3 linked regions of the Macaca fascicularis genome follow. The protein of the gene in region 1 interacts with the protein of each later gene in a biochemical or structural test. Links are inferred from orthologs where the notes say so. Each region holds a gene or a part of one and is shown on either strand. Other genes may lie near its edges.

Region 1 (3,657 bases):
TACTGTAAAGCTCGATAATGATCACAATTTGGTACTGGTGTAAGGATAGATGTATCGATGAATGGAACAGATTATGGAGTTTAGAAAGGAACATGCACTTAATATGGTTAATTGATTTAAAAAAAAAAAAAGGTGCCCAAGTAATTCAGTTGGAAAAAGGCAATCCATTTAACAGATGGTGCAGGAAAAATCGGGAATCCATTTACCAAAAAGTTAATCTCAGCCCTTACCTCCTCACTCTGTATACAAAATTAACTTGAAATGTAGCATAGTCCTAAATGTAAAAGTTGAAGTATAAAACCTCTAAAAGAAAATGTCCAAAGGAATTATTGTGACCTTGGGCAGACTTCTCAGTACATAAAAAGCACAAATCATTTTTTTTAATGATAAATCAGGCTTTATCAAAATTTAAACCTTCTGCTATTTAGAAGACAATGTTAAGAAAATGAGAAGACAAGTCACAGATTGGCAAAACAGGTCTGATACAGGGTGTTTGTGCAAAATATATAAGAACTTTTGCAACTCAATAAGACAACCTAATTTTTTTTAAAAATGGCCAGAAGATTTGAACAGACACTTCCCCAAAGAAGATAAAAGAATGGCACACAAGCACATGAAAAGATGTCAGCATCAACAGGGATATACAAATTAAACGCAGTAAGATACTACTACACATCCACTAGTATAGCTAAGACTGACAATATTAAGTGGTGACAAAGATGTAGATCAACTAGAAATCTCATACATTGCTGATTGGAATGCAAAATGGTATAGCTATTTTGAAAAACAGTTTGACAATTGTCTGGAAAGTTAAGGGTATACTTTCTGTACAATGAAGCAATCCTTCTGCTAATTATTTACCCAAGAGGTATGAAAATTTGTCCACACCAGAGGCCTGAATGTGAATGTTGATAGCAGTTTTATTTATAATAGACATAAACTGGAAACAACCCCAAAGCTCATTAATTGGTAAATGAATAAACAAATGGTGGTACATTCATACAGTGGAATACTACTCATCAGTAAAAAGGAACAACTTCTAACACCTGTAGCAGTAACAGTGGGTGAATTTCAGAAGTATTTTATGCTACATGAAGGAAGTCAGACACAAAAGGCTACACTCCTGCCTCAGCCTCCCAAGTAGTTGGGATTAAGGCATGCGCCACCACACCCAGCTAATTTTTGTATTTTTTTTTTAGTAGAGGCGGGGTTTCACCATGTTGGCCAGGCTGGTCTTGAACTCCTGACTTCAGGTGATCCCCCCGCCTCGGCCTCCCAAAGTGCTGGGATTACAGGCATGAGCCACCACGCCCAGCCAAAAAGTGAAAATTTTTTTACGTGATTAAAATGTTCTGAATTTTTTTTTTTTTTTTTTTTTTGAGACGGAGTCTCGCTTTCTAACCCAGGCTGGAGTGCAGTGGCCGGATCTCAGCTCACTGCAAGCTTCGCCTCCCGGGTTCACGCCATTCTCCTGCCTCAGCCTCCCGAGTAGCTGGGACTACAGGCACCCGCCACCTCGCCCGGCTAGTTTTTTTGTATTTTTTAGTAGAAACGGGGTTTCACCGTGTTAGCCAGGATGGTCTCGATCTCCTGACCTCGTGATCCGCCCGTCTCGGCTTCCCAAAGTGCTGGGATTACAGGCTTGAGCCACCGCGCCCGGCCAAACGTTCTGTATTTTAATTGTGGTATTGGTGATTACATGATATAGATTTGTCAAAGGCTTGTTGTACTTTTCTCAAAAAGGGTACATTTTATGTAAATTATAAAATCTTGACTTAAAAACTTACAGGCTGAGGCAGGCAGATCACTTGAGGTCAGGAGTTCGAAACCAGTCTGGCTAACATGTTGAAACCCCATCTCTACTAAAAATACAAAAATTAGCTGGACGTGGTGGCAGATGCCTGTAATCCCAGCTACTCGGGAGGCTGAGGCAGGAAATCGCTTGAACTGGGGAGGCAGAGGTTGCAGTGAGCTGAGATTGGCTGCTGCACTCCAGCCTGGGCAACAGAGTGAGACTCTGTCTCAAAAAAAACAACAAAATTTACAAAAGGATTCTGTAATAAATGATACATAAAGTCACTTTAACTTTGCACTAAATCTAGTTCATTTTAGAAGCATTTCCAACTTGGAACACAATGTTCTTTTTAATGTAGAATGATCACTAACGCTTCTGAAAATGAAAGATAACAATCCATATACATCTTTTATTTAACAAATATGAAAGTTCTTCTGATATTGTCCCAAATAGATACCTGTATTCTGTGAGCAGGGGATGGATTTCAAGCAAATATATACGTAAATAAGAATAAAGTTATGATTGTGTGAAGTGCAGCAACTGAGAGGTTTTGTGTGCTATGAAGGTGTTTAAGTGAGAAAATAGCACTCTAAGTAAAGGGAACTGGACATTCAAAAAGACCCAGAGACAGGAATAAGCTTGAGTGAATTCTAAAAGTTGACATAAATCAAACAGGAGGTTTGTGGCTGGGTGGTCACAGCGAATAATGGGGTCAAGCCAGATCTTGCAGGGTCTTATAGATGGGATTTTTAAGATCTTTAACTGTCATTTGGACTTTGCTGCATAATAAACCATCCCAAAAACTTAGTGCCGTGAAGCACAAAGATTATTTCTCATTCTGTGAGTCTGCGGGGCAGTTCATTTGTTGGACTTGCTCAGCTAGAGCTAGGTAGTATAGTTCACACGCATGGCCAACCGTTCATGCTGCCATTATTTGTTGTTCACAGGGTTACCAAAGCAGCAGGAAAGGGCAAGCCCCAGTCCACAAACATTTGTCAGGTCTTTGCTTGCATCACGTTCGCTGTTGTTCTTTTATCCAAAGCAGGTCATATGGCCTAAGCCCTGAGTCTGCGGGCCAGGAGTACCCATGGCTGTGTGCACTGGGAGGGGAATTATTATGACCATTTTTGCCATTAGCCACACTGAATAATCTGTTTATAATTTCAGAATACATTGTAAATTGTTTCATACTTTAAAGTACATTATGGCTGAGCATGGTGGCTCACACCTGTAATCCCAGCATTTTGGGAGGCCAAGGTGGGCGGATCACCTGAGGTCAGGAGTTCAAGACCAGCCTGGTTAACATGGCTAAACCCCATCTTTACTAAAAATACAAAAAAATTAGCTGGATGTGGTGGTGGGTGCCTGTCATTCCAGCTACTTGGGAGGCTGAGGCAGGAGAATCACTTGAAACTAGAAGGTGAAGGTTGCAGTGAGCCGAGATCAGGCCACTGCACTCCAGCCTGGGTGATAGAGCGAGATTCCATCCAAAAAAAAAAAAAAGTACATTATAAGTTTTTAACTCGAACTGGTTGGGTATACCATGCTTTTTGATGAGATGGACTATCCCTTTGCCAGTCTTAATGGGTTTCTTTCATCAAGAGCTCAAACCTTTTACTTTTTTCTATAAAGGTTCAGCGAACTATTGCCAAACAGATTCAGATGGTCCGGCAAGTTGGTAAAGGCCGATATGGAGAAGTATGGATGGGTAAATGGCGTGGCGAAAAAGTGGCGGTGAAAGTATTCTTTACCACTGAAGAAGCCAGCTGGTTTCGAGAAACAGAAATCTACCAAACTGTGCTAATGCGCCATGAAAACATACTTGGTGGGTACACACTGATTCAGTCAATTTCATGTTTGAC
Region 2 (2,438 bases), on another chromosome or scaffold:
CAAAAGAGTCCTCCCTGGAGAGAAAAAAAATTTTTTTAAACATGCCTTCACACACACATTATGATGTGAGTGTGCAAATTAGTTCTGATTTGGAAATATCACATTGGTGCCTGTAATAACTGGAGATACTCTGAGGTATCATAAAAGCAGAGGTGGGTAATCATTTTTCTAGAGTTAAGACCTCATCACACTCAGCTGTGATACGCCTCAACAGGTGAGTGAAACAGAAGATGTACAAGGGGCCCAAAATGAAGTCTTTAATCTGACCTACACTCCTTTCATCCCAGTATTTCTCCAAGGCATGTGTCATCCAGATGGGAGAGGATACTGTGTCCTTGTTAACATTAAATAGAAATGGAAAACAATTCATGCTGGCAATTACCATCTCTCTCTGTGAACAGTTTACTTCCTGTCCCTACAACTTAACCACCTCCAGGTACCACCTTTTGACTTCCATCCAGCCTCCAACTCACCTCAACAGAAAAAAGCCTCATTCAAAAGAGATGAGCCCAAAGGAAAAGAGAGAGGATTAAAGAGAAAAAAAGCCATGATTTACCTTTAAAATAATGACTCATTTTATTTTTTCTTTTAATATGTAGTTATAAATATATTTTGTCAAAATATATGATCAATATGGTCAAAACATTTGCACGTAAAGTCATAAATAAGGTCAAGGTGAATGTTTAGGGTTTTCTTCCTTTTTTTTTTTTTTTTTTTAAAATAAAAGTCCAGCTATAAGGAAGCAGTCTGTGTAGTGTGTGGGTGAGTGGATGAGAATGTGTGTGTGTATGTGTGTGGTGTGTGTGTGTGTTGTGTATATCTGTCTGTCTGTCTATCCTCAAGGACTGCCTGATCTCAGCGGCACCCACATCCCTCTACTACCATCTCCTGATAATTTTTCAGTACCACTTTATCATACTCATCCAGGTACAGCATGGAGATGGCACTCAGTTCAGTGGGCACACAACAGGCTTTGGGGATACTGGAATTGACAGAATTGACCAGGGTCTGCACAATGGCATGGTTGGTTGAGTTGAGGTGGTCAGCCAGTGGAAAGGGGCAGTCCCCATGGCAGTAGAAGGCCTGGTAGCCTGGTGGGGCCACAATCCAGTCATTCCAGCCCACATCGCTGAAGTCCACATAGAGCGAGTGGCGCCGGCAGTTCTTATTCTTCTTCCGGGCCCGCTGTGGGTGATGCTTAGGACTACGCTTGGCCCTCCGGCGTCGGGTCAAGGCATGGCCCCGGCCATCATGGCCAAAGGTGACCAGGAGGGGCCGGAGCTGGGCCCAATTCCCACTCCCTTGAGGTAACGATCGGCTAATCCTGACATGCTGGCCCTGGTGGGTCCGAGTCTGATGGAGGTGAGTCACCTCAATGGCCAGCCCATAGTTTGGCTGCTTCTCCCGGGTCCAGCGAAGGACCGCAGGGCTCACATCAAAAGTTTCCCACCGTGTCACATTGTGGTGGACCAGTCTCGTGTCCAGTAGTCGTGTGATGAGGTGCCCAGGCACCACTTCTGCTGGGGGCTTCATAACCTCATAAATGTTTATACGGTGGAAGCCCCGTTCCCAATCAGGGCCCTGGTCCACCTGCTCCCGGAAGAGCCGAAGCTCTGCAGAGGAGATCACCTCGTTCTCTGGGATGCTGCTGAGGTTAAAGAGGAAACGAAAAGCAGAGTTTTCACTGGTCCCTGGGATGTTCTCCAGATGTTCTAGGCACAGTTAGGAAGGAAGGGGAAAAGAAAAAGCACATGAACTTTTTTCAAAGATGGAAGAGTCAAGAGAGAGCTCAGGGTTGGGCGATGAATGGTGAATTCTGCTTATGCAGGGAAAACCTACTGGGGGGAAATAAGCATACCCCTTAATTTGAAGGAGCAGATAAGTGGGGCAGCTAGCAAACCAGCAAAATGTAGCTAGCATTTCTCAAGCACCAAAGACAGAAACTACCTCCCAGCCTCCTTGACATGTCTAATAATTTCCATGTGCCAACTCCTCTAGGGCACCACCATCAGACTCCTCTTTTAAAACCCCCCCTTGGTTTTGTGTCCACAGTTTTCTTTACAAGTGGTTGTAAAGAAAAAGAGGGGCCAACAGAGCACAGGCAGGAGGAAACATGCACACAACCACCTTCTCCCTCTTCCACTATTGAGTATGTTACTAAACATTTCCCCAGCGATCTTGGAAACACAGAGCATGCCTTGTTGATCATGTTACAGAGGGGAAAATAAATTCCAACACAGTAATGATGCTGGTGGATTAATAACTCAGATTTACTTTGGAAAAGAAACATCCGCTAGGAAACATTCAGATCGGATTACAAGGCCCCTATTGAATAAACCCGACAAACACACAGCTGTAATATTAAATTCAGTAGGTGCTTTGAAAAAAACGGGCAGAAAACCCAGCAGAAAAGGCTTTGATATAGCAAAAACACACCG
Region 3 (3,657 bases), on another chromosome or scaffold:
GCTAATCCCCGGCACCCCCGGGGCTTTCCTGGAGCTCAGGCACAACTTGTCAGATGTCCCAGCCCTGCACAGCTGGACGGCTGGCGGCACAGAGACCGAGGCAGCCACACGGCGGGGGCAGCAGGGCAGGGTCTGGGCTCCCCTGGGCTGAGATCTGCAGGAGGCCTTCAGCTGGAAGAAGCCGTGCGGGCCCAGGTTGGGGACACGCAAAGAATAGCCCCATCTCTGAACAGGCGAGCTGGCAGAAGCGTACGGGATTCAAAGAGCATTTTCCAGCTCAGGGCTTTGTTCCCACTGGGAGACTGCAGAATTAGGGGAACTGGCTCAGTGGACATACACAGGAAGGCAGTGCCACAGCCACCACCCAGGGCTCTTATCTTCCCAGGGAGGTCTTGCTCCACTTCCTGCCATGATGACGATGATACTAACGCAGGTGACCATTTATTGAGCACTTCCTGTGTGTGAGACACTGTTGTAAGTATGTCACCCCCTTCCATCCACAGCACAACTCTGGAAGGGAGATCCAGTTATTATCCCCATTTTACAAAGGAAAAAACTGAGGCTGTGAGAGGTGACTCTTTCCCAAGGTCACACGGGCACCTGGTGGCAGGATTTGAATCCATGCTCTCAATAGCTGGGAACTACATAATAGGGGTATCTTGGTTCTAGATTCAAAAACAAAACCACCTGTCCAAAAAAATGAATAAATAATATTTTTTTTAATTTAACCATTTAACGTCTGAAGAATGGAGGCTTTGCTGCAGGAGGCACAGGAAGAACATGTAGAAACCTAAAGAAAGCAGCTCGGTCTTTCCCTCCACTGCTTCTCACCCTGCTCCCTTCCCTGCTCAATGCTCCCACCTGCCATGTCCTCTCCTCTGCTGGAACGTGAGCTTCCAGAGGGCAGGGACTCATGTCTAGTTCGTTCTGGTCGATGCCCTCAGGCATGGCATGCAGCAGGTACCTGTGCTGAGCGGGGACTCAGCCACCCAGCAGCCCAGAAGCCCCCAGGAGCAGGACCCCAGCACCAGAATGGGCATCCCCAGCCCAAGTTGCTTGTTGCCAGCAGCCTGGCAGGGAGGACGCCTGGAACGCCCATCCCTGCTCCAAACACACTGCTCAGGCCTGCTGCCCAACCCTGCAGCCCTCAGGATCCACCCCGTGGATCTCAGGCAAGACAGCAGAGACACCTCAGACCATGATGGGACCAGGTACCCATGAAGCCAGCAGGAAGGACCAAGAGCTGCCAGAGCTGAGTGGAGAATCCAGATAACAGCCTGGACGCAGAGGCTGTGGTTTCACCCTAAGAAAGAAGCTCCCTGGCTGCTGGGAGTAGATGCCGATGTCACCTCCCAGGAGAGCTGCTCAGCAGTGTCTACCAAAGCCACCCACGTGTGGGCTCTCTGACCCCACAATTCTACCTCTAGAACTTTATCGGACTGATAGACATGAACAGGTGTGTCAGCGAGGGTACCTGCCCTGCGGCACCATCCATCATAGAACAGAGGGGCCAGCGTGCACACATGAAAGACAGCACACCCCACGCTGTGGAACAGTGAGGTGACTCAGAGGACGAGGGCACCCTGCGTGACCCACTGGAAAGGGCTGCCAAGGTTCATCATCCAACGATGAAAGCCAGGGGCAGGAGTGAATGTACTGTGGGGTGCCACAGGTGAAAACAGCAACACAGATCCCTTCGCTGATTTCAGGAGACTCAAGTAACTGGCAGCAGGAGCTGCCTCAGCAGGAGCTGGGAGCCTTCATTTTCACTGTGGTTCCTTCTCTTTCCTTTTGATTTTATACCATGACCATGTCTTGCTTACTCAAAAACCCTTTTTTTTTTTTTTTTTTTTTTTTTTTTTTTTTTTTTTGAGACAGAGTCTCGCTCTGTTACCCAGGCTGGAGTGCAGTGGCACCATCTCGGCTCACTGCAACCTTCTCCTCCTGGGTTCAAGCAATTCTCCTACCTCAGCCTCCCAAGTAGCTGGGATTACAGGCACGTGCCACTATACCTGGCTAATTTTTATATTTTTAGTAGAGACGGGGTTTCACCATCTCTACTGGGGTTGGCCAGGCTGGTCTTGAACTCCTGACCTCAAATGATCCACCCACCTTGGCCTTCCAAAGTGCTGGGATTACAGGCGTGAGCTACCACACCCAGCCTAAAAACAAATTTTTGAAAGAAATATCGTTCATAAGCGTGGGCTCCAGCTTTGCAAACCTGGGCTCATGTCCTAACGTGGCCACGTTCTCTCTGGGTGGCCTCATTCTTTGGCTTCGGGCCACTTTAGTTCTCCCCGTTTTACAGATGAGCCACCACTTCTGAAGGCTACTGTGAATGTGAAACAAGATATCTCAAGTGCAACACACTGGAAACGCTCAAGACAGTTTTGTTTTCTTGGTACTTAGATGACCATCCCCCCGCCCCCGCCAAATAGCAGTGCTTGGCAAATGTGGCTGTGATGGTTCTTCTGTCCCTGTCTATGGTAACAAGTCCCCTTTCTAGCTGAAGATGCTAGGCCTGCACATCACAAGGAGGTGCCCACAACACCTTTCTTCCATTAATTTCCCTGCCCAGTGTGGACGGTAGACGTCTGACAGCCTGAGGGGTCCAGTAACCCAGCCACTAAGTAATAGGACCTTGGTCATTTCCGCCTCCGGACTGTCTGAATAGAATGCACCTGCTAAATGTCCCAGCCCTTTTTCTTAGCCTCCTTACCTCTCACAAGACCTTTAAATTAATGCATCTCGATAAATTAAAGACTTTCAACACACACGTTTGGTTTCTGAGCTAGTGATTCTTGGAAGCTAAGAGTTCTCTGTTTATTTTTGGTTTGGGCTTTTTTCTTCCCCTAACATTTTATTTTAGATGGCCACCTTAATTGGTTGCCTGACATTGTGCGCTGGGTTTCAGAGTAAGGAATGGGAGAGAGGTAGCCCTTCAAAAATGTTTCTTCCCCTTCCCCTTTTCTTCTATGTCCCTTAGCACCCAGACAGATCCAGACTGCCTATATATACCCATATGGCACCATGCATCCTCGGGCTCCCTGGCCTTCTACTATTCCTGAATTCGTTGTTGGTCATGGTTTTAAGAAAGTGACATACACCATACACCTTCTTTAGAAGGGATAATCTGGTACAGGACCTGGAACGTGGCTGCACCAATCTGTCCCATCCTCTGGCCATCACCCCCTTTTTCCTCTGCCCCCAGAGGAAACTCAGCACCTCTCCCAGATACTCATACAGCACCCACCTGCCCAAGTGCTCCTGGAGCACCTGATAAACGCTGATCCGGAACGTCTCATTGTCGAAGCGTTCCCGGATGTAGTCCTTGTAGATCCGGAATTCGGCTGCTGTGACAGCTTCCCCTTCTGGGATCTTGGAAAGATCAAACCGGAACTCTCGATGGTGGTAGCGTGGGTGGAAGAATTCCTTGTCATGTTCCACTGGAAGAGGAAGAGAACACACACCAACACCGACAGCTTATTAGTGTCTGGGTTTCACTCTCAGGCTCTGAGTTCAAGCATCTTGCCTAAGCTAGATGGAGGCATTCCTGTTGCCAGTGACCCCAGTGACAACTGCTCCTTCTGCACTGACACACTGCAGACTGGAGGGTCACGGGCTCAGACCCCACGGCCCCCATGGTCATCCTGAACG

The links.
Region 2: the proteins of BMPR1A (region 1) and BMP4 form a complex in vitro, tested with the Homo sapiens proteins (3 studies listed by BioGRID and IntAct, with this or other methods). The link is inferred for Macaca fascicularis from reciprocal best matches to the Homo sapiens genes BMPR1A and BMP4.
Region 3: the proteins of BMPR1A (region 1) and BMP7 form a complex in vitro, tested with the Homo sapiens proteins (2 studies listed by BioGRID). The link is inferred for Macaca fascicularis from reciprocal best matches to the Homo sapiens genes BMPR1A and BMP7.

Annotation. Positions count from the first base shown.
Region 1 is NC_088383.1:59,723,408-59,727,064, reverse strand, and holds part of BMPR1A (bone morphogenetic protein receptor type-1A), read left to right. Parts: intron 1-3,427; coding exon 3,428-3,620; intron 3,621-3,657. UniProt on the Homo sapiens protein: On ligand binding, forms a receptor complex consisting of two type II and two type I transmembrane serine/threonine kinases.
Region 2 is NC_088381.1:121,790,033-121,792,470, forward strand, and holds the end of BMP4 (bone morphogenetic protein 4), read right to left. Parts: intron 1,713-2,438; coding exon 856-1,712; 3' UTR 552-855; downstream 1-551.
Region 3 is NC_088384.1:113,278,588-113,282,244, forward strand, and holds part of BMP7 (bone morphogenetic protein 7), read right to left. Parts: intron 3,447-3,657; coding exon 3,254-3,446; intron 1-3,253. UniProt on the Homo sapiens protein: Growth factor of the TGF-beta superfamily that plays important role in various biological processes, including embryogenesis, hematopoiesis, neurogenesis and skeletal morphogenesis.